Macaca fascicularis: one gene and its partner. The protein of the gene in region 1 purifies or fractionates together with the protein of each later gene. This does not show direct contact. Links are inferred from orthologs where the notes say so. Each region holds a gene or a part of one and is shown on either strand. Other genes may lie near its edges.

Region 1 (15,731 bases):
CTCATCACAAGACCTTGAAGGCAACTGAGGTTCAGAGAGGTTGTCTTCCTTGACATCTTTCTCTGCTCCAGTCAACACTTAGTGGCCTCAAATGACTACTCCCTAATTGTGTCCCTGCTACAATCTATACATATGGAGGTAAGATAATTTGTATTAGAGCAGATAGTTTTGAAGGAAATGATCTCCAATTTCTTTGAGAAAATGCACTAATAGGCTGGGCGCGGTGGCTCACGCTTGTAATCACTTTGGGAGGCTGAGGCTGGTGGATCACCTGAGGTCGGCAGTTTGAGACCAGCCTGACCAATATGGAGAATCCCCATCTCTACTAAAAATACAAAATTAGCCGGGCGTGGTGGCACATGCCTATAATCCCAGCTACTCGGGAGGCTGAGGCAGGAGAATCGCTTGAACCTGGGAGGCAGAGGTTACGGTGAGCTGATATCGTGCCATTGCACTCCAGCCTGGGCAACAAGAGTGAAACTCCGTCTCAAAAAAAAAAAAAAAAAAAAAAAAGAAAACGCACTAATAAACTGCTGGGTGGCCAGTAAGCCCTCAAAGACTGGAGCCTGCTGGAATCTAAGAAAAAAAAAAAAACTACTTAATATTAAAAACAAATAAGAATTTGTGGGTGAGGAAGAGCAGAGGACTGAGTAGAAAGAAGAAAAAGGAGCATTGTGGAGAAGCACGACATTGTGGCAGGAGTGCTTTTTCACCAAGACTGGAGTGCAGTGGTGCGATCTTCGCTCAATACAACCTCCGCCTCCCAGGTTCAAGCGATTCTCCTGCCTCAGCCTGCTGAGTAGCTGGGATTACAGGCGTGCACGACCACACCCAGCTGATTTCTGTATTTTTATTAGAGACGGGGTCGGGCCATATTGACCAGGTTGGTCTTGAACTCCTGACCTCAAGCGATCCACCCACCTTGGCCTCCCAAAGTGTTGGGATTACAGGTGTGAGCCACCACACCTGGCCCACTTTTAAGACTAGAAATTTACAGTACTTTTAAGTTGTGTTTCTGTAATGTTAACTCCCTTTCATCATTTCATAACCTTAGTAAATCTGCTGTGCCCACACAGAGCTTTGTGAAAATGCTTTTGGGTGAAACCTAGGAACAGGGCTAAGTTCTACATCTGAGTGGATGTTTGTGGAATAAGGACAGATGGCAGCTCATCCATGAAACACACTAGTTTACCATAAGGGGAAGTTCAGAGCCAGAGCGGGTCAGTGAGAACATTAGCTCCCCAGAAATAAGAAGAAATCTTGGGTTGGGTATTGGACTTGCAAATGAGGTGGAATGGAGGTTCAAACCAATCCTAACTGAGGGCTTAAAATCCAGGGAGATCTCAGCTGATACCCAGGTTACATATTATCATAGTACCTTTGCTCTTCCTTGTTTATATACCTTTGCCTCTCCTAAATTCACCAGTAAGAAGTCTTTTTGAGGGCAGAGATTCTGTTATTTATCTTATATTCCCAATGTCTAACAATGACTAATAGTGTACTTACTATATCCTCAGTAAATGTTTGTTAAAAGCATAATTGTCACATTTACATAAGTTTACTGAATTAAGAAAAAATAGGCTGGGCATAGTGGTTCATGCCTGTAGTCCCAGCAATTTGGATGCTGAGGCCGGAAGATGACGTGAGGCCAGGAGTTTGAGATCAGCTTGGGAAGCATAGTGAGACCCTATCTCCATAAACATTTAAAAAAAAATTAACTGGGTATGGTGGTGTGCATCTGTAGCCTCAGGCAGGAGGACTGCTTGAGCCCCGAAGTTTGAAGTTACAGTAAGCTACGATAGTGCCACTGCACTCCAGTCTGGGAGACAGAGTGAGACCCTGTCTTTAAAAACAAAAGGAAAAAAAAAGACACCCTAATATCTAATACTTGAGATAAGATTTTGTGTTTAATAGTCCCATGTCTAACACATTAAAAATATAAACACTATAAAATCACTCAATAACTAATTAAAATAAAAACTAGAAAACTGGCCAGGCACAGTGGCTCACACCTGTAATCCCAGCACTTTGGGAGGCCAAGGTGGGAGGATCACTCGAGGCCAGGAGTTCAAGACCAGCCTGGCCAACATAACGAAACACTGTATCTACAAAAAATACAAAAATTAGCTGGGTGTGGTGGTGCATGCCTGTAGTCCCAGCTAGTCAGGAGGCTGAGACATGAGAATAGCTTGAACACAGGATACAGAGGTTGCAGTGAGCTGAGATCATGACATTGCACTCAGCCTGGGCAACGGAGCGAAACTCTGTCTAAAAAAACCAACCAACCAACCAACCACTCCCCCGCCGGAAAACAATAATAACTACAAATTGTTAAATATTTTCAATGTGTCAGGAACTTCCCATTTAAATCCTGATATCAACCTTCCTACATTAGGTATTCCTATCCTTATTTTACACTGGAGGACACTTATTTTCAGTTGAATAACTTGCCCAGCCTTATGGCTAAAGTGGCACTAAAGCCCTTATTTTTTACACTATACCTGACTGAGTTAAAGAAATGGTTTTAAATATATTCTGGTAAGAGGGAAATACAGCTTATGCTGCCTCGGTAAAAAGCTAAAAATAAAAACAAAGTAACTTGGTGAAACCTGTTGGTACAGTTCCCTGATTACTATTTAACAAATGATCTGAGCATTACTTAGTCAAAATAGGTTTGTTGCATCCAACTTCAGAATGTGAAGTAGGAATACCAGGTTGCGTTAGCCACACTGTCATTTATTTCATATGGCACCAAATAACTTTTGGTCCTGTTTCCATGAGTAATAGAAAAAGAAGGCAGTTATTTGAATAATTCACTGAAATAGATTCAGTTTCAGTGAAAATACTTTGGAGAACTGGATGTTTCTGTATACTCGTCTTAACTTTATTCCCTACTTTCGAGGACTGATAGACCAAAAAATTTTTTTTATTTTTATTTTTTAAAACAAGTGGATGTTTAGCTTTTCTCAAACTTTCTTAAAGGTATTCCTTGACATACATTGGATAGGTCTAAATGGAACTTTATTACATGAGCAAGATTAGAAATTAATTTAATTATTATAAAATGTTACAAATTCAAACTTCATTTCCTTAAGAACTTTCTCACTTTGTTGTCTAGGCTGGAGTGCGGTGGCACTATCTCGGCTCACTGCAACCTCTGCCTCCTGGGTTCAAGCGATTCTCCTGCCTCAGCCTCCTAGTAGCTGGAAGCTGGGATTACAGGCTCAGCCACCCCACCTGGCTGATTTTTTATGTGTTTTTTTGTAGAGACGAGGTTTCATCATGTTGGCCAGGCTGGTCTCGAACTGGCCTCAAATGATCCACCTGCCTTGGCCTCCCAAAGTGCTGGAATTATAGGCGTAAGCCACTGTGCCCAGTCCAGAACTTATTTATTTTTGATGGCAAAACATTAAAGATAATACAAACATCATGTTTAATTATGTACTTATTCCCCAAACTGCATTCCTGATCTCTTGCACCTACCCAGTATACTCCAACCCCAATCTTCCCCATCTCAGTGAATGTAGGCAAATCCATTTTTCCAGTTGCTCAGAACAAAGTTGTTCATCCTTGATACCTCTCTTTCTCTAGAATCCTAAATCCAACGTGTTAACAAATCATATTGGTTTTCAAAATATACCCAGAACCCAACCATGTCTTAAGGCCTCTACTGTAACAACCCTAGTACAAGCTACCATCATCTTTTGCCTGGGTTACTGCAACAGGACCTGTCACTCTACAGACTATTTTCAACCTGGGAGCCAAGGTAACCAATATAAAGCCTAAATCTTACGAAGTCAATCTTCTGCCAATAGCCTCTCAGTGTCAGACACACACGGCCTTTCACCATCTGGCCTAGTGCTTCTCTGACCTCATATCACATGATTTTCTTTCTGGGTTACTCTTCTTTAGCTACAGTGGCCTCCTGGCTGTTGCTTCAAATTACCAGACCTGTCCCCACCCTAGGGTTTGCAAATTGTTCTCATAGTCTGGAATGCTCTTTCTTCAGATATGTGCAGGTATCTCCTTCACTTTCAAGTCATTCTTCAAATACTACTTTCTCAGTGAGTCCTGCTTCAACTGCCCAATTTAAAAATTACATCTTCCCCTTTCCTCCTGTGCTTGGTCTCATTCCACGTTCCTTCCCATATAAACTTTTCTGATAACACTCATGACCTTCTAACATACTATATAATTTAGGTATTTATTTTAGGTATTTATTTTTATTGTCTAACTCCTACTAGCATGTGAGTTTGATGATGGCATAGGTTTTTTCTGTTTTGTTCACTGCTATATCTGCAGCTTCGAGAATACTGTCAGGTACATAGTAGGCCCACAACAATCTGTTGAAATGTAAAAGTTGTCTGATTCCAGTACAAGAGTATTACATATTGGATTCCATGAGAATGGGAACAACTAAGTTTTCATGTGCCTGAAGAGCTCAAAGGGTCTTTGGAATGCTGGTATTCCATGGTTCCCTTACCATTCTGACTCTCAAAAACATAATCATTTTTTCAACAGCCAAGCACTAATTTTAAAAGACCCTGGACTGTGAAATCTACAATGACAGGTCCCTAAGAGGATGATCATGATTACAGTTCTACAAGCTACCTGGTACTGTATAATTTTTTTTTAACATTTCTTTTCAAATCATTGTACTGCTTTTCCTTATGAATGGAATTGGAAGGTAGGGGAAGCCAATTTGATTACACATCAATAATTTTGTGACACCCCCACCCCCTGCAGTGCATCAGCATATCTGATACATCTTTTCATGTTGGTTTCTCTTTTGAAATGTGTAACATCAAGCAGGGCATGGCAGCTCAATCCTGTAATCCCAGCACTTTGGAAGGCTGAGGCAGGAGGATCTCTTGAGCCTAGGAGTTTGAGACCAGCCTGGGCAACATAGGGAGATCCCCATCTATACACAAAATTTAAAAATTAGCTGAGTGTAGTGGCACATGCCTGTAGTCCCAGCTACTGAGGAGGCTGAGGTGGAAGGATTGTTTGAGCCCAGAAGGTTGAGGCTACAGTGAGGTATGATTGCATGACTGCACTCCAGTCTGGGCAACAGAGAGGGAAACCCCATTTCAAAAGAAAAAAAAAAAAAAAAGCAAGCCCTGAATACTTTTGTAATTTTTGTAGCACAAATGCTGAAATTATTCTGCACAACTTTAGGATCCATCCTTTGGCTATTCCCATTTTGAAGGAACATAGAATTTCAGGACTGTAAGGTTTTAGTTTATTTGGTTCTATCATCTCATTCTACAGATAAAAAACTGGAGTTCAGTGATGTTAAGTGACTTGCTCAGGTACTACCGGGCTGAGTAATCTTTTTGGTCAGAATGACTTGTTCTAAACATAAAACAAGATACTTTTGAGAATGCAATTGGAAAACAGTTCTGAACATCAAAAAACGAATCTAGCAACAATTGCAATATACAGTTCTAAATAATATGCAGTCTACCCCAGTTTATTTTCATGGTGACAACTTAAGCATTAAAAATAGAAGGCAAATATAGCAAAGGATGAAATAATTGATAGAAAATAAAAAGGCCCCACAAGTATCCTAACAAGTAAGAGTTATGAATCTCAAAACGACAAAGAATTTCCAGGTCACCTGAACTGTTACTGTGGCATCCACATGAGAAGAAACCACTTCTGGCCAGGCGCAGTGGCTCATGCCTGTAATCCCAGCACTTTGGAAGGCCGAGGCAGGCAGATCACAAGGTCAGGAGTTTGAGACCAGCCTGACCAACATGGTGAAACCCCGTCTCCACTAAAAATACAAAAATTAACTGGGCATGGTGGCGCACATCTGTAATCCCAGCTGCTCAGGAGGCTGAGGCAGGAGAATCGTTTGAATCCGGGAGGTGGAGGTTGTAGTGAGCCGAGATAGGGCCACTGCACTCCAGCTTGGGTGACAGAGTGAGACTCTGTCTCAAAAAATAATAATAAAAAGAAATCACTTCCATGGAATCAGAGAGATGGTTCCATATTAGCCATGACTTCTGCTGTTCTTTTGAGAATGTGGGCTTACTATCTAATCATTTTAAGATGCCCATGAGCACTTTTACTTAGATATATGCACTTTCTCTTTGCACTAGTGAGTCTATGTGAATGTTACATGCCAGAGGAATGTAAAAGTCTACACTTACAATGCTTCATTTTTCTTTAAGAATTTTGTCCAGGTCATGGAGACATTTTTGTGGAGTGATAAATTAACTTCTTCTCCTGATGCGTTTTCCCCAGATGCCTTGGAAATCACTTGTTTTTCTGAGAGGTGTTAGTCATCAAAACCTTAACTTTAGCAACAGCTTTGCTGTTCTAGTTTTGTTATAATCAAGATACCCTAGTACCATTGATAGTTTAGGATACTTGATATGAATGTAATGGAAAAATATTTTTGGCCCTTTGTATATAGCAATGGTCTCAAACTATGAGAAAAATTATGGCTAAATCAGATTTTCAAAAATTGATTTTAAGACATTCCAGGAGCTAGGAACCTGGTTAACTCATGTGACTTTAAAACTCAGATCTCTGCCAACAGCACAATTCAGTTTCCTAAGAACAAAATTTTTAAACTTACTGTATCAATGCCTTAACTCAGTTTCCCTTCTCCATGTCTCACTCTCATTAACTTTTGTTGTCTGTGATTTTTTTTTTTTTTAGACAGAGTCTAGTTCTGTTGCCAGGCTGGAGTGCAGTGGCACGATCTCGGCTCACTGCAACCTCTGGCTCTCAGGTTCAAGCGATTCTTCTGCCTCAGCCTCCCGAGTAGCTGGGACTACAGGCGCGTGCCACCACGCCCGGATAATTTTTTGTATTTTTAGTAGAGACAGGGTTTCACCATGTTGGCCAGGATAGTTTCCATCTCCTGACCTTGTGATCCGCCCGCCTCGGCCTTCCAAAGTGCCAGGATTACAGGCGTGAGCCACCGCACCCGGCCTGTGTGTGATTTTATGCAGGCTGGACACCAGTATCCTAGAGTAAGATGATCTGGATTCTATCCTGATAAACTGGGTCAAACAGGTACTCATCTGATGCAGGTGAAACTCCAGTGCAGGAACTTCCATGACAACTTTAAACATAATTTTAATTGAAATGATCTACTTTTACGTTTCTTTAGATATGAACACCAATTTTTCTCTTAATCTTCTGTTAACTAATTTCTTGGTAATGTACTCAAAATAGCTTTTCAACCAGTCTTCCAAAGTAAGAAGTTATTACGATGCTATTACTTTCCCTTATACTGCACACTTTGCTCAGCAATGAATTGATCCCTGATTTACACATTGTGCTGAACTCTCACATCCTAAATATATTTATTCTTTTGGAATTTTAGGTATTTGGAAAATATTGAAGCGTTGGGGAGATTAAAGAGAATAAACACAACATTAGCAGACTCAACTACAATCCACAGAGGAAATAACTAAATAAGTTGCTATTTTAAACAATTTAAGCAAATAGGAGGAAGGGATTATTTCAGAACTCACAGTATGTATAGGCAAGAAAATAACTGAAGCAGTGATGCTTAAAAAGACTTGGTGAGGGTTAATACTTGAATCCCTATAAAATACAGTATTTTATAGTATTTGACGTCACAGGTGTGCAGGTGAGCATGGATAACCAGTTTTCTTCTCTAAGCAACCAATAAGAATGTTAAAACAGAAATAAGACTTCATATAATACAGTGAAAGACTGAAAGCATTGTCTTACGACTACTGTATTATTTAAAGAACTACATCTGTATCAATCAAATGTGGCAGGACAGGATGTACAGTTCAATACTGGGGGTGCAAGATTTTAAAATGAGGAACAGGCCAAAATCTAAACACAGAATCGTCCAAAAAAAAAAAAAAGGCCTTCAAGTAGAACAAGTTTTCAATAACAAAACATGGTAGTTGAACGCCTGCGTCTAGTTACGAGTTGGGGAAAAACATTAATTGCAGATTAATGAAACAGATTCTGTGCGAGGTCAGGGTAGGGAGTGATGGCGCGCGGGAGCGGAGGAAGAGCCGGTTTCGCCGTCCCAGAAAGCGTTCCACGTCCACACGCCCGCACTGCGGCCCTGCGGCGAGGGTTCAGACCTCTCCGTTTCCCTTCACCATTCTAAACGCGCAATCCCGCTAAAATCCCGTTCACTCCAATTCCTGGAAAGAAGCTTACAACGGTGAATCTCTTCCCTGGAGTTGAAAATCAACTTCCAGTGCCGGTCACCGAATCCGTCAAAAATCCTATCCCTCTCGGGCCCAATTCCTAAAGAATTCAAGCCTGCACCCTGTAGACCCTGAGCGATCTCAGATCATCCCCACACCGCTCCCAGCCTCCCCAGCTCTAAACGCCGCCGCGTGGCTCAGCGCTGCCCTCTCCGGCCTCTGAGGGCCGCGCACATCGCCCCGCCCCCGGCTAGCGTGGCGGAAGTAGCTCGCCCGGGCTGAGAGACCGCGCGCCACCTGGCAGAGCGCGCATGCGCCCGCACAGCCAGTGCTGGGGGCGTCCGTATCGCTAACTCCTCAGTCTCCGCAACCCCCGCCTCACCGAGAGTCGGGCTCACGCCATCTTGCACCCCCTTCCCCCCCGTCACACAGCCGAGTCACCTTTTCCCTTTCTTACACTCCACACTCTCGGCCCCCCCACCCCGCCCCTTTCCAAGCGTGTCCCGGGCCGCAGCAGCAGAAATCGCACCATCTCCACCCCCCACATTCTCCTCGCAGGAAGCGCAGCCGTGCCTACAAGGGTTCTTAAAGCAGAGGTTGTGGGGCGTGCGGGGGGCGGTGCGGGGGTGCGGGCGGGGGAGACGTCCGAGAGCCGGGAGGGACGCAGCGCGGAGATCCCAGCGTCTCTGGGCCCCCGCGCCGGCCACGCCCTGGTCCCGGCTCTAGGGCGGCCGCCTGGGTCTTCGGCGTCTACGCGGGAGTGTTGAAGGGAGGGCGGCTGTGGGAGGCGCTGACCGGGCGCAGCGCCCTGGTTCTGCTGCCGATTGTGGAGTTGCCTCTCGACTCCTCCCTGTTGGCGGGTGGGCGTGGGGTGAGGGGGATTGGGCTGTGCTAAGGAGCGGGGTGCGCGGGTCGTCTAGGTAGTGTTGGGGGTTGCCGGGGGAATCATTAAAGAGGGAAATTGTTGCTTTATGGCACGGCGAGAGAAGAGTTAGGTAGTTAGTGGGAGTGTAGCATCCAGAAAGAGGAGAAGATCCGCTGTGTTCTCTCTGGGGTGAGCTCACGTCTGTGGCCCCTGGGGAAATTATGTAGCTTGTCTTTGCCTTGTTTTGGTCTGTAAAATGGCGATCTTATAGCCTAGTTCAGAGTTGTCAGGGTTATATGAGAAAATACACGTTAAACGCCTGGAACAACGCCAGGTGCTGCTCAGTACATTTTAGCTCTGCTTTTGCTCTCCATGTTTTAGGAGTTCAGAATGACTGTGACCTTATCTTCTCAGAGAATGAGGACATTTGGTCTCACAAGTGAGAGTGAAGTTATGAAGACAGTGATATGTAATATTTGACACTCAGACGATCCTGGACATGTTATTACTGTACACGTGGATAAATTGGCATTTCTCCACGAGGTTAATAGAAATGTTAAATTATTTCGGTAGAAAGAAATGTGTGTGTGTATATATGTGTATATATGTATGTATAGTGTGTATATTTATATATGTATTTGGAAGGAGAGGACCTGGGGTCTTAATATATGTAAAGGGCAGACTTTGGAAGAGGAATTAAATTCGCCCTGCAAAGATTTACTTGAAGGACAGAACTTGGGGAATTTCTGGTGAATGTTTCATAGAGGCTGAATTTGACTATGAGGAACAGTTCGTGAGAGTACTTTTCTAGAATGGAATGCACTTCATTGTGCTATTGAAAGTTTCTTATCTTAGGATATTCGGGACATTGGAGCGAAGTGTGCCTAAGTCTAGGCTGCACTTTTCAGTAGCAGTTTCTGCCTTGGTGGAGATGTTCCATAATCTGTGCCTTTAGGCACTAGTGGTAGCCTAGGCACAGTGGCTCTTCAGCACTTGAAATATGATAAGTGTCACTGAGGAAGTTAATTTTTAATTTGTTTCGTAAATTAATTAATACATTGATTTACGTTTAAATACCAACGTGTGGCTAGTGATGGCTACTGCATTGGGCAGCACAGGTCTACAGTTTAGATGTTGAGAGTCCTTCCGAGTCTTGATATGGTTGAGTTTCAAATCAGAGAAGCCAGCTCTTTGGAACATTTATTGGCTTACGGAATTGTAATTCTATTCAAATAATGCCTTTCATTCAAATACTGCAGTTCAGACCTTGGGTCTGTTAGTACTTATTTACATCTTGACAAATTAAAGCAAAACGTTCTTTTGTCTCCTAGGTTGTACGGGTAATGCCAGATCCAAAGAGCTATGACAGTATTAACTGGAGTTTTCTTTAAACATTATGGTACTATTTTGTGATTTTTGGTTTTTATCTTTTACTACTTTGGTTGGTTTTCAGTGAGAAGTTTCCAGCTCTTTTATTCAAGTTTTTTTTCTTTTTTAACCTTTCGTGTAATAAAGCTATTTGAAAAATTATAACTGTTGAGCATTAGGACATTTTAGAACTAGTTTTGTGGTTATCCAAGTCTTTTGGAGAGATAAGTGAAATTAGGTAATAGATGTTTCACAAAATTGCTTTCCTTGAAATATGTGCATCTTTTTTTTAAGTAAGTCTATATAAAGTCAAATATGAAAATAAAACTAAAAGAACAAACAACTTTCATAGGTAGCGGTAGCACCCTTAACCCTGGCCTGATGTCTGTAAAATGATGCCCTTGGGTCAGGCACGTTGGCTCATGCTTGTAATCACAGCACTTTGGGAGGCTGAGGCCACAGGATCTCTTGAACCCAGGAGTTCAAGGCTGCAGTGAATCATGGTCAGGCCAGGCCTTCCAGCCTGAGCTATAGAGGGAGACCCTGTCTCTTAAAAAAAAAAAAAAAAAAAAAAAAAAAAAAAAAAGATGCTCTTGGTCTTAAGGCTGAAGATAATGGTTAGATCTGGAACAATAACTTAAAGCCCATGAATTAAATCAGATGGAGAGAATAGCTCATAATATGCAAATCAGAATGGGGTACTTTTATGGGTGACCATAATATCTTAATTTTTCTGAGACAGTCATGGTATAAAGCCTGATTGTTCCAGCACAATTATTTAATTTAATAGAACCCCTTTCACTATCAAAAATGTTCGAATTGGGACCACATAATAATGTCACCCTACTGTTAGCCTTCTTGGAACTTGTAATATATAGTTTTAGGACAATTAACCACATTGCAATATCAGAAATACTTTATTATTATTTTTGAGACGGAGTTTCGCTCTTGTTGCCCAGGTTAGGGTGCAATGGTGTGATCTCAGCTCACTGCAACCTCCACCTCCTGGGTTCAAGCGATTCTCCCTCCTCAGCCTCCTGAGTAGCTGGGATTACAGGCACATGCCACCATGCCCAGCTAATTTTGTATTTTTTGTAGAGATAGAGTTTCACTGTGTTGGCCAGGCTGGTCTTGAACTCTTGACTTCAAGTGATCCACATGCCTCATCCTCCCAAAGTACTGGGATTACAGGTGTGAACCACTGCGCGCGGCCAGAAATATACTTTAAAACAGTGACAAAATTACTGTTGTTGTGTCTAAATAATAAATGAGATACCTGGAATAAGGCCAGCAAGTGACTTTCCCATGTAAGCCACTGATAATTTAAAATTTTGCTTTGGATAGAAATCTTTAGCAGCTTGAGTTTTGGTGCCCTCTGGAAGAAAATTATCTTTTGGTGGGGGTGACTGCAAAGCATTAGTCTATGTCAGTCAAATCAGGAGATTGAGTATTTGTGTTGAAATAACACTGATTTTATTTTATGGTAAGGTTGAATAGTGAAATCCATCAGAAATCTGATTATGTATTAGAATGTTAAAGACGGGTTTTACTTACAGTTACTTAAATAATGAAAAATAACTCAGCTACATGCATTATTAAGTTTATACTGAAGTGGGTAAAATATTTTATTGAGGCTCTAACACTTGATTTGAGTTCTCACTCAGCTACTTCCTAACCATGTGATTTGGGACAAATTATTTAATTTTCCTAAGAATACTCGGTTCCTCATTTATAAAATGAAGATGGCGATGGCTTCTGCTTCTAGGTTCATAAGAGGTTAATTTAAATAACTCATGTGATGTGTTGGGTGCAGTTCAGTAACTATTAGCTGCTGTAGCCTTAAGTTTATTGGATAATCTAGAAGTGATAATAACGTTCTGAGATGTTCTGTGGGTTGGTGAACAGAGCACTAAGACGCAATTCTGTAAACCTAGCTTTTGCCCTTTTCTGCCACATTTTGTCATTTCAGTTAAGGTATTTAACTTGTTAATATCGGTGCCTCAATTTCCTTATCAGTAAAATAGAATTAGTACCCAACCTCATCCCACCTTCTCATAAGACTGTTGGTGGCATCAAATGAGAATTACGTTTAAAAATTGTTGTCCTTACAAACATTTTTATGTTGAATTGGTTTTGTCTCGTCTACCTACAGCCTCCACTAAAGAGTGACCTGCAGAAGTTGTTCCGCAAATTTTGTGTAACAGCATAGATAGTGTATAATAGGCACTATTACTGAAGACAGTTCTCTTTTACAAATAATATTGTAAGTCACAGGCCGGGTGTGGTGGTTCACGCCTGTAATCCCAGCACTTTGGGAGGCTGAGGTGGGCGGATCACTTGAGGTCAGGAGTTGGAGACCAGCCTGGCCAACATGGTGAAACCCCATCTCTACTAAAAATACAAAAAATTAGCTGGGTATGGTGGTGCATGCCTGTAGTCCCAGGTGCTCAGGAGGCTGAGGCAGGAGAATCTCTTGAACCCGGAAGGCGGAGGTTACTATGAGCCGAGAACGTGCACTGCACTCTAGCCTGGGTGACAGAGTGAGACTCTGTCTCAAAAACCAAACACAAAAAAAACAAATAATATTTTAAGTCACAGTAATGGTGCTTTTTTGATCTGGTCACAATATATTTTCTACAGAAAACAACCCTATACTGCTAAGGAAGAACGAACATTTTCTTGGGCACTTACTTGATGTGTTCTTTCCATTGTATCTCATTTATCCAAACATATTCCCACCGAATAGGTTGTACTAATGAGGCTCTTACTTTCTAGAATGGGTCTGTCAGGCTTTTTTGTACTGTAGTTCTCCCTTTGAAAATATCTGGCCCTTAGTTAATGGGTAGTGAAGGTTAAATAAGATCATGAACATGAAAATAGTGGCTGGCTCTGTGACTCATGCCTATAATACCAGCACTTTGGGAGGCTAAGACATGTCCAGATTGCCTGAGCCTAAGAGTGAGGGCAATATAATGAGACCTAGTCTCTACAAAAAATTTAAAACAAAAATTAGCTGGGCCGGGTACAGTGACTCACACCTGTAATCCCAGCACTTTGGGAGGCCTAGGCGGGTGATCACCTGAGATCAGGAGTTTGAGACCAGCCTGGCCAACATGGTGAAACCCTGTCTCTACTAAAAATACAAAAATTAGCTGCATGTCTTGGCATGTACCTGCTGCTTAGTAGGCTGAGGCACCAGAATTGCTTGAACCCTGGAGGCGGAGGTTGCAGTGAGCCAAGATTGTGCCGTTACACTCCAGCCTGGGTAACAGAGCAGAACTCCATCTCAAAAAAAAAAAAAAAAATGTAACCGAGCTTGGTGGTTGGTGCCTGTAGTACCAGCTGCTTGGGAGGCTGAGGTGGGAAGATTGCTTGAGCCCAGGAGGTGGAGACTGCAGTGAGCTGAGATTGTGCCACTGTACTCCATCCTGAGCAACAGAAAGAGACCCTGTTTCAAAATAAAAAGAAAATAGTACACTGTTTGGTGTATAGTAGGTAGGAGTTACTGAAAAGATGCTGTTGAATTCACAGGACAAGTAAATTGAAATAATTTATGTGACTATATTAACTAAAATAACATACAAATATAAATCATTTAAAAAATCTTGAAATGTACTTTTGCGATTTAAATGCTATAGTGGTTTTATGACTGAATTCTATATATTTCACGGTATTCATGTTAGTCTTTATTAGTCATAACATTCTTTGAGGATATACATGTTTAACAATAATCTTTTGTGATATATTTTCAAGAAGCTTTGCTTTTGCTTGAGTTCATCATCATTGTTGGCATGAACTAAATGCCTGATATGTACAAGGCACTTTCCTAAGGGCTGTACATATGTTATTTTATGTAACCTAGGAGAGAAGTAATTAATCTCCATTTTAGAGATGAGGAAACTGAGGCAGTGAGGTGGCATAACTTGCCCAAGGTCATGTGTAAGTGTTAGAGCCTATAATTTAACTCCAGAGCCTAGCTCTTTACTGCTCCCATTGTGGTTTGGCATAGGCAGATATTAATATTTCACAACACAGTTCAGTGTGACATACACATTGTGGAGGCTTTGTGGGTTAGTTATGATAAACTTTTATTTGTATATTCCTTGTTGTATAGTAGAAAGAACTCTGGACCAGGTGTCGGGGGACCTCAGATTTAGTCCCAGCTTGTATCACTAAATAGTAGTGTGTCCTTGGGCAGTTCAAGAAACCCCTCTGGACTTCAGTTCCTCACCTGAAAAATGAGGGATTTGGAGGAAATTAGTGATTTTCAAACTGTAGTTCTGAAGTCTGCTCAGATGTCTTTGGTTCCCTCCCACCAATTTGCATATATATTTGTCTGTTACAGTTGCTTATCCATCTACCTAAGATTTTCTTTTAAACGAAGAATTTCTTAACTGAGTGTTTAAAGTCATCAGTCTCCAAGAAAACTTAATGACTATGTAAGTCCCCTGACTGCTGTGTTTACAACTTTTCAGTAATTTCACAATATTTTAGTGTTTTAGGAGATAGAGATCTTTTACTAATGAAAAAACTAAGGCACTAAAATGAGAGGATTTTTATTAAAACATAGTATATCTAAATGGCCTGAATATTTCAGGTTATCAGCTATCTGGGATCAAAGCCTGTTGTTTACTGAATTTGTGATCTTCAGCCAGTCTTAGTTGGTAGAGGCAGAATACTTGTCTTGTAGGGTAATTGTGGGGAAAAAAAAAAAAAGTGAGCTAACACAGGTGAAACACCCTTTATAAACTCCAAATTCATCTGTTTTTTACATGCCTACAGTAAATCCCCCATTCCTTTTTCTTTTTGGTCACGCAAACTGTGTTTTTAAACACATCAGATATTTTGTAAATTGTTTAATGCAGAATTCTCATAAGCTTTAATATTTCTAAAATGTGACTCTCGACTGGAAGAGAGTGTTGATTTTTAAGGGAGCTGCTTTTTTTTTTTTTTTTTTTTTTTTTTTTTTTTTGAGACAGAGTCTCGCTCTGCCGCCCAGGCTAGAGTGCAGTGGCGTGATCCTGGCTCACTGCAAGCTCCGCCTCCCGGGTTCACGCCATTCTCCTGCCTCAGCCTCCCGAGTAGCTGGGACTACAGGCGCCCGCCACCTCGCCCGGCTAGTTTTTTTTTTTTTTTTTTTTTTTTGTATTTTTTAGTAGAGACAGGGTTTCACCGTGTCAACCAGGATGGTCTCGATCTCCTGACCTCGTGATCCGCCCGTCTCGGCCTCCCAAAGTGCTGGGATTACAGGCTTGAGCCACCGCGCCCGGCCGGGAGCTGCTTATTTTTTGACATCTTTGTCAAATACACTTACCTCTTACTGTTAGGAGTGTAATTGG
Region 2 (15,634 bases), on another chromosome or scaffold:
CAAGACTCCGTCTCAAAAAAAAATAAATAAATAAATAAAAATAAAATAAAAAAATAAAAATAAATATAAATAAATAAAAATTAAAATTAAAAAAAAAGATGAGGGAAAAAAAAAATCCACCCTCTAATTTTTCCCCACTCCCCTTTGTTGGTCCAGGCCTTTTTGCTTTCTCATTCCTCACCCTCTGTCTTTCCTTCCATGTCTTTCATCCTTACAGCAAATACTTCCCTGGACAAGAAAGCCACATGAAACTGATCTACCAGGGCCGCCTGCTACAGGACCCAGCCTGCACACTGCGTTCTCTGAACATTACTGACAACTGTGTGATTCACTGCCACCGCTCACCCCCAGGGTCAGCTGTTCCAGGCCCCTCAGCCTCCTTGGCCCCCTCAGCCACTGAGCCACCCAGCCTTGGTGTCAATGTGGGCAGCCTCATGGTGCCTGTCTTTGTGGTGCTATTGGGTGTGGTCTGGTACTTCCGAATCAATTACCGCCAATTCTTCACAGCACCTGCCACTGTCTCCCTGGTGGGAGTCACCGTCTTCTTCAGCTTCCTAGTATTTGGGATGTATGGACGATAAGGACATAGGAAGAAAATGAAAGGCATGGTCTTCCTCCTTTACGGCCTCCCCCCTTTTCCTGGCCAGAGCTGGGCCCAAGGGCCTGGGAGGGAGGGGTGGAAAGGATGTGATGGAAATCTCCTCCATAGGACACAGGAGGCAGGTACGGGGCCTCCTCTTCTCGTCCACAGGAGTACAGACGTCCCTTCTGTGCAAGCACAACTCAGGTAGAAATGAGGATGTCATCTTCCTTCACTTTTAGGGTCCTCCTGAAGGAGTTCAAAGCTGCTGGCCAAGCTCAGTGGGGAGCCTGGGCTCTGAGATTCCCTCCCACCTGTGGTCCTGGCTCTTCCCAGTGTCCTGCATGTCTGCCCCCAGCACCCAGGGCTGCCTGCCTGGGCAGCTCAGCATGGCCCCAGCACACCTCCATAGGAATCCTGGAGTATCCTTCCATTTCTCAGCCAAATACCTTTTGAGACTGAAATCACACAGGCGGGAATGAAGATTGTGCCAGCCTTCTCTTATGGGCACCTAGCCGCCTTCACCTTCTCCCTCTACCCCTTAGCAGGAATAGGGTGTCCTTCCTTCTTTCAAAGCACTTTGCTTGCATTTTATTTTTTTAAGAGTCCTTCATAGAGCTCAGTCAGGAAGGGGACAGGACACCAAGCCAAGCCCCCAGCATTGGGAGCGGCCAGGCCACAGCTGCTGCTCCCGTAGGCCTCAGGCTGTAAGCAAGAGACAGCACTGGCCCTTGGCCAGCGTCCTACCCTTCCCAATTCCAAGGACTGGGTATGGATCGCTGGGCCCTAGGCTCCTGCTTCTGGGGCTATTGGAGGGTCAGTGTCTGTGACTGAATAAAGTTCCCTTTTGTGGTCCTGGAGCCTCTTTCTGTGACAGAGAATGACTGCGCTGCCCCCAGCAATATGGTAATGAGGGTAGGTAGGCCGGGGCTACCAACGGGAGATGCAGTTTATTTACACCAGCAGCCATGGGGGCAGAGGGAATACACAGCGTTTACAAAGTTAGCTACCTGTACAGAATGGATTACATATGCAAAAATAAAAATCTCAAGACCACAGGACAGCGTGAGCCCCACCCCCCTCCCCCAATGACCCCAGCATGCGGTAATGCCAGGCGGGTGGCCCCTGGGCATGCGGGGGGGAGTGATGCATGGAAGGAAAAGCCACCGGCCATGGAAATTAGTACAGAACCCCCCCACACACACTCAGACACATGATAGGATACAGGGTGGACAACACCTAGCCGGGGTGGGAAGGATGGGAATTGAAACCCACACAGCCTGCTGTTAAAGGGAGGGGAGTGGGGAGCTCCTAGCCCCTGTTCAACTACATGGTAGGGGGGCACTCTCTCCCCAGAAGGAAAAGGGTTTGTTCCCTCAGAGTCCCTGCTGGACCAAGCCCATCTCTTACCCAGCCTGGGCAGGGGGCTCTGCCCTGAGGGCGGGCCAAGGAACAATGGGGAAGTTTATGTGGACAAACCAGTTCCCAAACTACTTCCCACTTCTCCCTCCTCCAACCAGAAGGGGGAAAAAGGGAGAAGCCACAGGGCAAAGAGTGTATTAGGGCCTGAGCTGCAGCTGCCTCTCAGAAGGGAGAGTGGCCCACAGCCTTCCTCCCTTCACCTTCAGCCCACTCCCCAGACTGCATCTGGAAGCGGCTGGAGGCCTGCTGAGATCCTCCTCTCCCTCCGGCCTCCCCTCAGAGGGAGAAGGCTACGGAGGGCCAAGAACGGAGGAGCCTAGGCCCCAGGATTTATTCTAACTCCTGCCAAAATGTTTGGCTTTTTAAAAAATAATCACAATTTGTGGGTTAAAAACCAATTTGCAACCAGGCATGAGCCACAATCAGAACCACCCCAGGGGGAGAGCGGAGTTCCAGACAGGGCATTGCAGCCCCATCTCTGTTGTTCCCTTAACCCTCTAGGGTCCCTAACCCGATCAGTCCAACCAGTCCTGGGTACTAGCTACCCAAATGTGGGATGGCTCCTCTTGGGAAGAGGGCAGGGGACATGTCCAGGAAGTGCCAGAGAACTTGGCTCAGGGTCACCTCCACCCGTGTCAGTCAGCTCTGCTCCCAGCCCAGGTCGCGGTCCTCCAGCTTGGCTCCTGGGAGTGGTGGTGCCCGCATGGAGGGGGGACGGTACATCTCTTCAGGATGTAGACCAGGCAGGTGGGCACACTGGCATGACAGTCCCAGAGAGGGGCAATGACACCCCTTCCCCTCCACTGACAACCCGGAGCACAGAGGCCACCCTCTCTTCCCACCCGACTCCTAGCAAAGGGGGAGAGGCACGAGATTAGGATTTTCCTCAGAGCCCCAAACCACAAGTACAGAATAAATAACTTAAAAGCGCTAAGGAAGGGAAACAGGGCAGGCTTTGGAGGCAGGAGCGCCGAGAGAAACTGAAGCCGGTCAAGGTGAAGGGGGTGGAAGCAGCAGTTGGGAACCTGGGCTGCCCCGGTAGGGCAGTGGGGCAGGATGGGCAGGAGGAACACGGGGCCACCCCAGGAGGGTGAGGCTGGGTCCCTTCCTGGGGCAGGGAATGAGGTAAGAAAACATTTCAAATAAAGCAGCACCGTTCCCTCTCACCTTGGGGCCCCACTCCTCACCAGCCCTGGGTCAGGGAGGAGAGACAGGGGGAGGAATTCTGACACTTCTCCCTCTTCCTACCCTCCCTTTCCCATTCCTTGAAGCTGTAGAGGCTGGAGGCCCTTTCCTGGCACCCAACAACAAAAGGACAGCTCCTGCTGCCAAGGAGGCCCATGGGGACTGAGGGGAAAGGGCTGCCCCTGTGAGGGGCAGGGAAGGTGGCGGCAGTTCTGGACGCCCACCTCAGCAGACAGCACTCTGTGCCTGCCTACCCCTGGGACTGGGGGCATTTGATAGGATTCTGCACACAGACAGGACATGCCCAGCCTTGCCCCTCAGCTCCAAGCACCGGACCCATTCACATTGCTGAGGGCGGCCAAGGCAGGCCCCCTCCAGGCTCAGCTTCCAACCCACAGCCTCCCGGGTCACCACATTGCCCCTCAGCAGGGCTTAGTCCAGTTCCTGGGGTGGGGGGCAGGCAGTGCCCTGGCACAGCGCCCAGGTCAGGCCCCTGGCCTAGCTGGACATCCAGTAACTCACAGAATAAATAGGAAAACTGCCTCCCCACCAAACTTATGTCCAAGGCATAATATGTCCAGGTCTGAGTCCTGCACGCTGAGGAGTCGTGCTCCATTGCAGAGGACTTTGACACCCCCCAGGGGCGCATAATCGGATCCTCTGCCTGCCTGGCCCACCAAGCTTCCCAAGCCCCAACCCCCAGCAGCCGTCCATTTGCCAGGCTATGCCACCTGGGTGGGGGTCAGGAGAGAGGGCTCTGCTCAGCCAAAGGCTATCCCTTGCACCCAAGTCAGTTGATGTCATCATAGATGCTGGGCGTCGGGGGTGCCGGTGGCTTTGGCTTCTTCTTCTTGTTGGAACCTAGGCCGGAGGCAGTCCCTACCAGGCTCAGATGGGATTTCTTTTTCTTGGTTTTCCGTGACTCAGAGCTGTTGGTACCTGTAGAGAAAGAGACACAAAGGATGAGAGTAGGGTTGTGGCAGGAGACGTGGCACTCCCACGGCTTCGGGCACAGCCCCTGGGGCCCAACTGTATCACGTACCTAGACCCCATCCCTGATTTTCACTCGTCTTGGAGGAGCCTGAATCAGAGGGTGAGAGGTCAGAGGAGCCATCCCACTGAAGCCGGCTGATCAGGGCCTGGCTGTCAGTCATGTCAAAGCTGTCATTATCCAGGGAGCTCTCGACCTCTGGAAGGACGCTAGAAAGGGGATGAGCCAAAGAAGGGCTTTAGAGATAGCGATCATCGCCCTAACTGGTCATAACCCCCCATCCCTCCTGTAGGGCCACTTACGCCGAGGGCCCGAGGAAATAAATCCGCACGGTTCGCCTCTGCTCATCTGTGTGCTGTGGGCAGCGTAGGGACCTGGTGGTGAGGCAAGGCAGGGAGGGGTCTGAGGAACTCAGGTAAAGCCCCTCCTCTCGGCAAGGCAGGAGCCACAGGCACAGACAGGGAAGGGATGAGTGCAGATTCGTCCCCAGACTGTGGCCGAAGGCCTGATCATTAGAGGAGGGAAGGGGAAGGGCAGAAGCCCCATTGCTCAAGTCCGACCCATGCCCATGGTGAGTGTGCAGGAGGCCCCTGGCCCCCTTTCTAGGTTCTGTGCTCACCTTGTGCACATCTTCTTGGTGTGTTCAGAAATCACCCCACATTGCTGGAAGAGGAATATAAGCTGAAAGGAGGGATGGAGGGAACCTACTCTAGATGCTAGATGTTCCCTTCTGCATAAATGCTAGAAAGCACAAGCAGAGATGGCCCCAAGGTGTCCAGAGCAGACAGTCCCAGGACACTATGGGCCAGGAAACCTAATTCCAGAAAGAGAGAACAATATGGCCCTGACTGCTATGTCACCAGCTTCCTCCCCGGCCTTGACCACTGCCTATGGCTCCAGCCCACTCCCAAGGGCCTTCTCCCTTGCCGGTCCCCCTCACCGTGGTGAGCAGGCTGCGAAGCTCCTCTGGCCCCAGGGTCTCATAGCTGATCCCAGTTGAATTGTTATACTGCAGGAGAACCAGAGGTACAGGTTAGAGATGGGGCAGAGAAGAGACAGGGGCCGGGGGGAAGCGAGAATCAGTCCCTCTGGTGCCTTTCTAAGCGAGAGGCTTTAGGACAACCCTGCCGTTTTCCAAGTGATTTCTCTCATCCCACCTGCCTATGGATAAGGGGCGGGACTCAGAAAGAACATAAATATATAAGATCCAAATAGCTCATCAGTGCCTCTGGCTGTCAGCATTCTGATCCCTACTTGTCCAATTCCCTACCACCTCACAACCAGGACAATGAGAGCAAGTGCGAGGGGCGGCCCATACTCACCTTAAAAGGATCCGAATTGCTAAGTTCCCCTGAAGAAGAAAAAAGAAGGGGAAGGGTGTTTGATGCAGAGGTACAGACAGAGAACCCTGAAAATAACCAGAGAGGAAGTGGGGGTGACAGAAGGATCACAGGCCCTCCCTCAATTCCCCTATCCCCGGGCCCCACCTCCACCCCCCAGCAATGAGTCCCAGAAGACGTAGCTAGAAGCAATCCCATTGCTCCGGCCCCACTTACCATTTTTGTGTTTTAAAGACTTGGATCTTCGAGGGGAATTGGGGTTCTGGAATGGGAGATACCATAGCTTTGGGGAAAGGGTAACGATAAGGGGGAGCCGAGAACCCAGGGAAGGAAAAAAGATTTGACAAAGCAGCATCCTCAAATTCCTACTCTTCCTCCCCAGTAGGAGGCCTGTCTACCCATGTGCCCTCCCCTGCCCTCCATTCCCACACCCCACCCGCCCACCACAGACACCCTCAAGCCCCCAGTGACCTCAGCCTTGAGTCAAGACACTTGAGGACTCCCTGCCCAAAGGGGAGGGTATCTGTCCTTTGCCCATTAATTCCCCAATGCTTGCCCCGGCTCTCACCTTGTCTGATTTCCTCTTCTTGGCTAAGGGGGAACAAAAGCATAAAGAGCAGGGTTTCCGTTAAGTTCTCAATCTAAAAGCATCTCAAGAAAACTGTACAATAGGCTGGGCGCAGTGGCTCATGCCTATAATCCCAGCACTTTGGGAGGCCCGGGCGGGCGGATCATGAAGTCAGGAGATTAAGACCATCCTGGCCAATATGGTGTAACCCCATCTCTACTAAAAACAAAAAAATTAGCTCGCCGTGGTAGCGCACACCTGTAATCCTGGCTACTCAGGAGGCTGAGACAGGGGAATCACTTGAACCCGGGAGACGGAGGTTGCAGTGAGCCAAGATTGCGCCAATGCACCCCATCCTGGGCAACAGAGCAAGATTCCGTCTCAAAAAAAAAAAAGAAAAAGGAAACCGCACAACTATACTCTCTCTTCATCATTCAAGACAACAACCTTAGCCGGGCGCAGTGGCGGGCGCCTGTAGTCCCAGCTACTCGGGAGGCTGAGGCAGGAGAATGGCGTGAACCCGGGAGGCGGAGCTTGCAGTGAGCCGAGATTGCGCCACTGCACTCCAGCCTGGGCGACAGAGCAAGACTCCGTCTCAAAAAAAAAAAAAAAAAAAAAGACAACAACCTGTGACCACTTTATACCCAATTTCTGCTTCCCACCTCATCCCAATGCTCCCCAAGTTTCCCCAGATCCCCAAGCACCTTTCTTTTCCGAGCCATAAGACCAGTCGTTGTCATTGATGTCATCATTATCCTCTTGGTCACTCTCAGACTTATTCATATTGTTGCTATTGGCAATCCTGCCAAAGGGAGGGAAGAGAAAGGGTCAAGGGGGTCACCCCACTCTGCCCCCAACTTCAGAGGCACGTGGGGTATCTGGGGCCAAGTAAAACCCACTCTCGGTACCCTCCTAATGCCCCCGGGGTACTACACCATGGCACAGGCTGCAGAGAATGGGCAGCTCTGGTTCTCTCACCGGCGGTTGGCGATTCGGCTGCTGTTCCGACCCATTCCCAGGCACTTCTCCAGATGGGGAGCAAAGCGGGAGGCGGCAATGCTGCGACTGCAATTGGGGCAAACACACTCTTTGCTCTTCCACTGGTTGAAAACCTGTCCAAAGATGTCCAACCCCGGCTGGTCCACGATCTCTGGGGACAGGAGAGGCTGGCGATCAGGGTGGGCAGGGGACCCTCTCCTCTTGTTCCCACCTGGGGTCCCACGGCCTCTTCAATCCCTCCCCCGGCTCACAGGAGCTCCAGATGCTACATCTAGCACAGTTTCCAGAGAAGGAAACTCCAAACAGTCCCAGGGAAGGGCTGGACTGCTGCTCCTTCACCCTGAAGCTCACCAAAATCCTTCATGCTATCAGGGTCCGTGTCGTCCAGGAAGAAGTAGCCACACTTGACAGCCCGGTGTACCTCAAAGCAGAATCCCAAACAAGAATCCTCGACCAGGTCCGCATATATCTCCTGAGCGATGGCCTGGGCCCCAGGGGAGAACATCTACGGTCACAAGAGTCACAGCCCCCTGGACTCTCACCAACCAAATCTGCTGCCATCTGGCCCCAGCCAAAAATCACGCTTTCTTTGCCATTTTCCCCATCTTGACTTCGTGTTCTTTCTTCTTCCTGGATCCTTGGCCTTTTCAGCTGGCTATTCCCTTTAAGGAACAAGGCTGACTACCCAAATTCCTCTTTGGTGTGGATGCCAGATATAGCGACGTAGAGACATCAAGAGAAAGAACTGGAGGCACACGTGGGGGAGCCCTCACCTCTAGTTTGCTGTTATCCAGGCCAGACAAAGACATTTCCTCCATTTTCATTTGTAAACTCTTGTGGAGACGGCGCTCTGACTGCTCATAGCACAGCGGGCGGCAACACGGCTGCACACACGGGGGTGGGGGTGTTGTTGTGAGTCCAAGGCACCTCTGAAGGCGGCCACCTTCCCTCCCACCTCGCTGCCCAGAGCTCAGTCCTGGCATCAGGGTCTCTCCCTCCCCAAGGCCCAGGCTCACTAAGTCTGGATGGTCCTTCAGGGCCTGAAACCTAAAGGGGGCCTAGTCTTTCCCAGGCCTGAGCTCAGGCCCTGGACTCCACTGCCAATCAGAGTCTGGGTCTATAGGAGGCAGCAGCTCACCCTAGGTCCCCAAAACTCAAACCCCTCTTTGATACCCATGGTGCAATGCAGCAGGGGGAGGAGAAGGAACTCCAAGGCCTCAAAGCAAACCCACAGGGTGTGGCAAAGAACTGCACAGACTCCTAAATACACCCCCCCGCCTTCCCTAAAGACTCTCCTCAGAGTCACCTCTGCTTTCAGCCAGGATGTCCACTTGGGGGGGTACTGCTACCAGAAGTAGAAATGGCCCTAGGACCCTACAACCTTCACCCCACTCTGCCTTCCCTTGAAATCAGCCTGCCACTCCACGAGGGAAGCAGAGCTCACAGGAGCCTAGAGCTAAGGGACATTTCTAGCCACCATGAGCAGGAGCGGCGGGGCGGGGGGGGGTGCCCGGTGGGGTGGCACGCCAGGAGCGGGCACTCCCCTTACCTGTTCTTCCTTTAAATAACCACCCACCCTCCCTCAGGACCAGCCCGGAAGTCTCTCCAAGAGCCCCAAAGTCCAGGAACCCCCACCCAAGGATTCAGACACAGCACCCACAGCCCAGGGCCCCTCGGAACGGTGGGTACGAGTTTCAGGAGCCGCCGGCCTAGAGTGGGGTGGGGACTGACGAATGAGCCGGGGGCACTGGGAAGGGTAGGAGGCCGGGCCTCGGCTCTTCCCCCGTCCCTGCGGCACTGCTGCTGCATCATACCGACTGGGGGGAGGAGAGCCGAGCCGCCGGGGCCGGCACCGGGCCGGGACAGACCGACCCCCAGAGAGTGGACAGAGTGGGACGCGTCCCGGCCCCTCTCCTTCCCCGCCCGCCAGCAGCCCCGGCCGGCCGGGGAGAGGAGTCCGGGAGGGTGTCTCTATTGTCCCGGGGGCTGGGGCCTGGCTCCCTAACAAAGGCCCCGCGCCCCCTCCCCGGCCGGCCCTGCCCCGCCCAAGGGGGACCCAGACGGGGGAGAGCTGGGGGCCCCGGCCCGGCCGGGAAGCTGGGGGAAGCCGGGCGTTTCCGCGTCGGCCCGGGGGGAGGGGAAGGGGCGCTGACCCAGACCTGGGGGGAGGGGGCCCAAGCCCCGCCTCGGGCCCCGCCCCCCGCCCCCCGCAGGCCCCTCCCCCGTCCCCGTCTCCGTCCCGTACTCACCCCGCCCGGGGGGCCGCGCCGGGGCCCGGCGGCCTCTCAGGGCCGCGTCCTCCGGCGGCGGCGGCGGCGGCGGCTGCTCCGGAGCCCCATGTCCGTCGGTCCGTCCTCGCCTCTCCCCGGGGCCCAGGGCCCGGGGCCGGGGGGTCGGGCCGCCCCCCCGCCTCGCCGCCTCACCGGGCGGCCATGGCCCCTTCCCCTCCCTTCTTGTCCCGTCGCCGCCTCCTCCTCCTCACCTCACCCCGCCCGCGCGCAGTCCGCGCGCCGTCCGCGCGCCCCTCCCCCCGCCCCCCACTCCAGCCCGCCTCTCCCGGGCGGGGGGTGCGGCGCGAGCCCGGAGCGCGCGCGCGTGTGCCGCGACCGGAGGATGGATGGATGGAGCGAGCGAGAACGCGAACGTGCGCGCGCGCGCCCCTCTCCCCCTCCCTCCGCGCGGGCGCGAGGCCAAGCGCGAGCGCGCTCCAACCTCCTCCTCTTCCTCCTCCCGCCCCTCCCCAACACCCCGCCCTCCCCCTCCCTTCCTCTTCCTTCTTTCGCTTTCGCGCGCCCAGCGACTGCTCGCGCCTGCTAGAAGGGCCCGAGCGCGTGCATCTGCCCCGCGGCCGCAGCTCGGCAGCATTTGCTCCAGGGGGCGGGGACCGGGAGGGGAGGAGGGGCGCCACGCCGCCGTCCAAAGTACCGGCGGACGGGGACGGGGGCGGGGAGATGGGCGGGGCCTTCGCGGACCTCCCCGACCAATCGCCGAGAGGCCTCGGCCCGGGAGGCCCAATAAGATGGGGGTGGGTGGGGCGGCGTTCAAGGTGAGGTGCGCGGTGCGCTGGGGGCGGAGACATTGTGCCGTCCCGGCCGGCTCGGGGGCGGGGGCAGCGGGTGGCGTCGAAAGAGAGCGCCGGCTCCCAGCCGATCCTGGGACGCCTTCCGGCCCAGGCTTCCCCGCCCTTCCCTCGGGGCTCCCCGCTCTCTTCCCCCCCCCCCTCCGCTCCCCCCTTTACCCCGAGGCGTGCAGCCACTTCTGTGAAGAGGCCAGACTTGAAGTGGGGCGCAGTTAGGACCTCGGAGCGGAAAGCCCGTAGAATCGAAGGGGCTCGCCCGCGCCTCAGTTCTCCTGGTTTCTGGGCGGGTCTCAGCCCACGCCAGGCCTGCGGACCAACAAGCGGCCGAGATGAGGGTCCGCTGCTGAGGTCGGAGGCCAAGCTGCGCCCTTCTGCGCGGAGCGCCCTCCCCACCCCTCATCCTAATTTAGATCCCACACCTGCTTGCCTTTCCTGCTTCCGGAACCCACGCTGGACCCCCCACCCCTCAAGACAGCCTGCCTGGCACTGGCCAGATCCTTCCCCCGACCCAGTGCTTTTCTCCTGGGTGCAGAGTGTCCCTATGCTCACGCTCTCAGTCCCTCTTTAGGAAGGAGCGGGCCTTTTCCCAGCCGCGGTGGATGGCTGGATTGGCGCTTTCATCTCGGTTACTCTGTGTCTGGTGTCCTGGAACGGTTGTGTGACAGCCCTCTCCCCTCAAGAGATAAGATTAAAAAGGAGGATAGTCTGAAATCACATACTTGGAGCCATCTTTGGTTTTTAGTTTTCCGCAAATATTTTATTCTCACCGATTTCTCCTGAGAAACAGCAAACATTTATTGAGGCGATATTCCAGAGTAGTTAAGATCAGGCGTCTGATTTGAATTTAAATCGTTGGATCTAGCAAATGAGTTTCCTCTGCCTCAGTTTCCTCTGTTGTCAGTGGGCATAATGATAGTCCTATCTCATTGCGTTGCTGTAGTGATTAACAAGTCAGTGCATGTGAAACTCTTAGCTCTGTGTAAGTGCTTGGTAAATCTTAGCTGTTATTCTTACGGTGCTCCAGGTGCTGGGACAAAAGATGATATAAGACAGTTGTGCTTCTTCAAGAAGTTCACTGTCTTGTGGGATAGACAGGTAGGATAATAATTGCAAAAGAGTGTGACGAAAACAGCAGAGAGAGAACAGAGGTAGCCAGAAGGAGACATCAAATAATGTAAGAGAGTTGGTCAAGAAAGGCTTCTTGGGTTGGGCGGGGTGGCCCAGGCCTGTAATTCCAGCACTTTGGGAGGCCAGGAGCTCAAGACCAGCCTGCAAAAATGCAAAAATTAGCTGAGTGTGGTGGCATGCTCCTGTAATCCCAGCTACTCAGGAGGCTGAGGCAGGAGAATCGCTTGAACCTGGGAGGCGGAGGTTGCAGTGAGCTGAGATTGCACCACTGCACTCCAGCCTGGGCGACAGAGCGAGATGCTGTCTCAAAACAAAACAAAAAAGAAGAAAAAGAAAAACTTCTTGTAGTGGGAGATGAACCAGGTAAAGGTAGGCCAAGAAAGCATTGGATATCCCCAACCGGAAGCTTCAGAAGCCTGGATCAAGCTGAAACAGAGGATTGGGTGGCAGAATAGCTGGAGGTGAGCAGGCTGGATCATACAGGACAAAGCAAGTAGGTGTTGAAAGTTTCGCCTGTAAGCCATGAGGAATCCTCAAGGGGAATCATTCACCAGACTTATATATTTAGTAGATCATGCTGGAGTGTGGTCTGGAGAATAACTTAGAAGCAGTAGGTTTTTTTGTTTTGTTTTTTTTTTTAGCGTTTTGCTCTGTCACTCAGGCTGGAGTGCATTGGTGTGATCTCAGCACACTGCAACTTCTGCCTCCCAGGTTCAAGCGATTCTCATGCCTCAGCCTCCCTAATAGCTGGGATTACGGGCACATGCCACCTTGCTCAGCTAATTTTTGTTTTATATTTTTAGTAGAGACAGGGTTTCACCATGTTGGCCAGGCTGGTCTCGAACTTCTGACCTTAGGAAAGCCACCTGCCTCAGCCTCCCAAATGCTGGGATTACCGGCATGAGCCACTGGGCTTGGCCAAAAGCAGGTTTTTGTTACTGATTGGGGTGTATGGAGGAAAGGAGAGGGAGGTCTCGAAAACACCTTTAACTAGGATGGGGAACTCAGGGGAGGACATGGGAGGATGACTTCACTCTGGGGTATATTGAGGTTTCTGTGGGATCAGCTGATGGAGACCCGAAAGGTGATTGAACTTAGATCTGGCACAGAGAAGTAAGCTAGGTTTTCAAGAACTTCAGCAACATAGCCTCAGCCTTGTTTTTCTCTTATCTCCCACCTCCTTTTCAGGAATTCTTCCCGCCAGTGATGCTGATCTGTTTCTTACCTAAATATGCCCAGTACATTCTGCCCTAAGGAATTTGCGCCATGGCCAGAAAATCCTCCTGGCTTCTCCCTGTTGACCTAAATCTTTCCTCATATCCCCACCTGTGGCCATCCTCATACCAAACTTCTGTACAACTAGACTGTACTGTTCATTCTGTGCTTGGCCTGGGCTGCTCTGTGGTGGTGACCTCTTTGGGCATGTACCAGTCTTCACTGTTAGCACCAGTTCATAAACACTAAGGCCTGAGCTGGTCCTGACTCTGGGTGAGACCCTGGGGTTACAGCAGCAAGCAAGAGAGACACACAAACCTTGTCCTAGCGTGGCTTACAGCCTAGCAAGGCCTGATGGGAAGGAAATAAGGCCTGAGTGTGAAGGCATTCAGGCTGCTGAAGAAACATATAGTGTGGAGACCCTTTTTCTCAGGAGCTCAGGGAAGGAAGTGGTCTTTTAAGTGGAGCCCTGAATTAACTAGGCAGAGAGAACACCATGTGTATAGACCCTGGGACAGAGCATGTTATGTTCGAGACATGAATGGCCAGTGTGGCTAGAGCCAGGGCAGGGCTAACAGGGGCAGCAGATCCCCTAGGGCCTTGTGGGCCAGACTTATTCACCCACTCAACAAGTCTTTCTTGGGTGTCGAATGTATATCAGGCAGTTTCAGGTGCTGAGATTACTGTAATGAACAAGCAGATAAGGTGTCTTCTACTTGGTGAGATAGATAATAAACAAATACATAAACAAGAAGATGGAGGACGCCTCTCTAGAGCAGGTGGTTGGGAAAGGCTTCGCTGAGAGAGGACATGTGAGTTGAGGCCTAAAAGATGAAAAAAACATCAGGTATGTGTAGGGTTGGAGGAATAGCCATTCTGGGCCGAAAGAACAGGTGCCAAGACCCCGCGGGTAGGCGTGTTTGAGGAACAAAAGAGATCACTTGGCTGGATCACTGTGAGTGGTTAGGAAGAGCAGGGTGAGTGAAGATAAGAGAAGGAATGCAGGGGCCAAACCTTGTAAGGCCATGGTAAGACATGGTAAATTTTCAGTACAGAAATAATCAGATTTATTTCTGAGATAACTTTGGCTGCCATGTGAAGAATGGGCTGTAGGGGGCGAGAGTGCAAGCAGGAAGATCAGCTTTAGGAGGTCTTTGCAGAAGTTGAGCAATGATGGTGGCCTTAAATAGGATGGGCGTGGCAGCTGTGGGAGTCACCCTGTGGGAGGGGTCGACAGATTTGAGACAGCTTTAGGAAGTGGAATGGAGAGGTCTAGGTGATTGAACCTGGAGGTGAAAGGGAGAGAGAAGTCAAGGCCAATACTCTGCTTCCTAGGTTGAACGACTAAGCGTTTGGTAATCATTTCGGGTCTTGAGGTATGAGATGCCTGCAAGATATCCCAGAGGATGCAAGGGTGTCTACACAGGTCTGCAGCTTGGAAGAGCAGTCTCTGTCGGCACCACCCTTCAGAATGGTTGCATATTGGCGATCATGGGAGGTTGAAGGGAGAGATGTGAACACCTGGGATAAAATGAGGAAGAGCTGACACCAGCAGAGTAGATCAAGAAGGCAAAAGACAGACAAGTGTTCACCAGATGTAATGAACATGTTGGTTACCTTAGCAAGGAGCCTCAAGGGATATTGGTAAGTTGGAGGCCAAGAGGCGCAACAAGCTTTTTAGAAGTTTGGCCAGTATAGGATAGGGGTGAGGGCTGGGAGAGAGTTCTTGGACGGGACCTGGGTCTGCAGCCCTTTGAGTTTCCAGGAACCCAGCCAAGGCCTGCACGGGGAAGGGTGTCTTCCTTAATCTCAGAGAGCAAGTCATCTCAGCCCAGCCCAGCCTGCTTCCCATCAGAGGTCTAGATGGTCTTAGGAAAGTCATCCTTAACCCTTAACCTTTAACCCCGGGTGGAGCTGAAGGCTCAGAGTGGGAGAGTGCTCCCTCAACTCCCCACGATAAGCAAGCCCTACACTAGGAAGGGTTGCATGTCCAGGGCAAACCCTTGACCCTAATAGCTCATCACCTCCAATTCCCCAAGACCATGTACTCTGAATGAAAATGCATTTGTTCTCCAACTTCTCAGTCTTTAGTGGTCTGACAACCCAAAGTGAACAAATGGAATTGAGAAAAGGGCAAGAACAGTAGCACAGAACAATGTGAATATAGGTTACCTATGGAATCTTCAGGGAAGAGGAAGATAGTTCTAGGGAAAAAAGGCAAATTGGCTTCAAGCATTTTTATAGATCAAACCTGTTGGGTCACCCCTGTGAACTACATCACCTTCATTGATTCCAGTGACCAGACAGCAGTCAAACCTTTGTTTTTCACTTTATTATACAAAAAAGGGAAAACAAAACTTCCACAGTTGGCTTTAAGCATAGGCAGACACCTCTAAGCCACTCCCTCCCACCTCCCATGATACAAATTCAAGTTGTGGTTGTTGTTGAATCCTACAAAACACTCTTTAAATATTAGAAAAAAAGTTGGGGGCGGGGACGGGGGTCTTCCCACCCCAGCCATCCCATCCCAGTGCCAAAATGCACTCAAGAGTGACCTCTTACAGCACCAACACCCCCACCCTGACAGTCCTGTTTGTACTGTAAGAATTTTTCAATTTTTAAAACAGGAAAAAAAAAAAGGGCCCCATTGCAAGTTGTTTTTAAATGAAAATACATTCCACTGAAACACAACAGTGTAGGGCAGCCAAATAGGAGACTGGGGTTCTTTGCAGGGCTCTTGGGAAGAAATAGAACCTATAAACCCCTTTACTTAATTCCAGGATTAGGACAAAGGAAGGGGAATGGGAGTGGAGAGTAACCCCCCAGACCTCCCCACCCCCAGCACCAAGGTCCAAGGCGAAGCAGAGACTGTCTGCCTGCCTTTGGGAGAGGGACCCACCAGCCTCTCTGGGGCCAGGGCCTTTCCCCATTCCTGCCCCACTTCTGCAGCGAAGTTCCCGCTCTTCCCCCATTCCTTGGCTTTCATTCACAGGGGGAAGGTGGAAAAGCACCAAGCCCCAATTTAATAGGTCATTGACATGATCATAAAAAAAAAGAACCCTCCAAATTTAGTCAACAAAAAAGTAAGAACTACAGATATAAGGTGACTTGGCTTATTAAGAGGAAT

What was found.
Region 2: the proteins of SUPT3H (region 1) and ATXN7L3 purify together in Homo sapiens (affinity purification with mass spectrometry; 6 studies listed by BioGRID and IntAct, counting the BioPlex papers as one, with this or other methods). This does not show direct contact. The link is inferred for Macaca fascicularis from reciprocal best matches to the Homo sapiens genes SUPT3H and ATXN7L3.

Annotation. Positions count from the first base shown.
Region 1 is NC_088378.1:126,166,401-126,182,131, forward strand, and holds the start of SUPT3H (transcription initiation protein SPT3 homolog), read left to right. Parts: upstream 1-8,518; 5' UTR 8,519-8,755; intron 8,756-8,860; exon of another isoform or gene 8,861-9,213; intron 9,214-9,443; exon of another isoform or gene 9,444-9,567; intron 9,568-10,355; exon of another isoform or gene 10,356-10,423; intron 10,424-14,455; exon of another isoform or gene 14,456-14,623; intron 14,624-14,737; exon of another isoform or gene 14,738-14,831; intron 14,832-15,731.
Region 2 is NC_088390.1:65,247,839-65,263,472, forward strand, and holds ATXN7L3 (ataxin-7-like protein 3), read right to left. Parts: upstream 9,566-15,634; 5' UTR 9,335-9,565; intron 9,215-9,334; exon of another isoform or gene 8,392-9,214; intron 7,970-8,391; 5' UTR 7,910-7,969; coding exon 7,859-7,909; intron 7,591-7,858; coding exon 7,437-7,590; intron 7,237-7,436; coding exon 7,065-7,236; intron 6,889-7,064; coding exon 6,791-6,888; intron 6,110-6,790; coding exon 6,087-6,109; intron 5,802-6,086; coding exon 5,735-5,801; intron 5,587-5,734; coding exon 5,501-5,586; intron 5,188-5,500; coding exon 5,119-5,187; intron 4,842-5,118; coding exon 4,798-4,841; intron 4,553-4,797; coding exon 4,481-4,552; intron 4,388-4,480; coding exon 4,230-4,387; intron 4,127-4,229; coding exon 3,978-4,126; 3' UTR 1,512-3,977; downstream 1-1,511. Other genes in the region: TMUB2 (transmembrane and ubiquitin-like domain-containing protein 2), read left to right, coding at 218-581. UniProt on the Homo sapiens protein: Component of the transcription regulatory histone acetylation (HAT) complex SAGA, a multiprotein complex that activates transcription by remodeling chromatin and mediating histone acetylation and deubiquitination.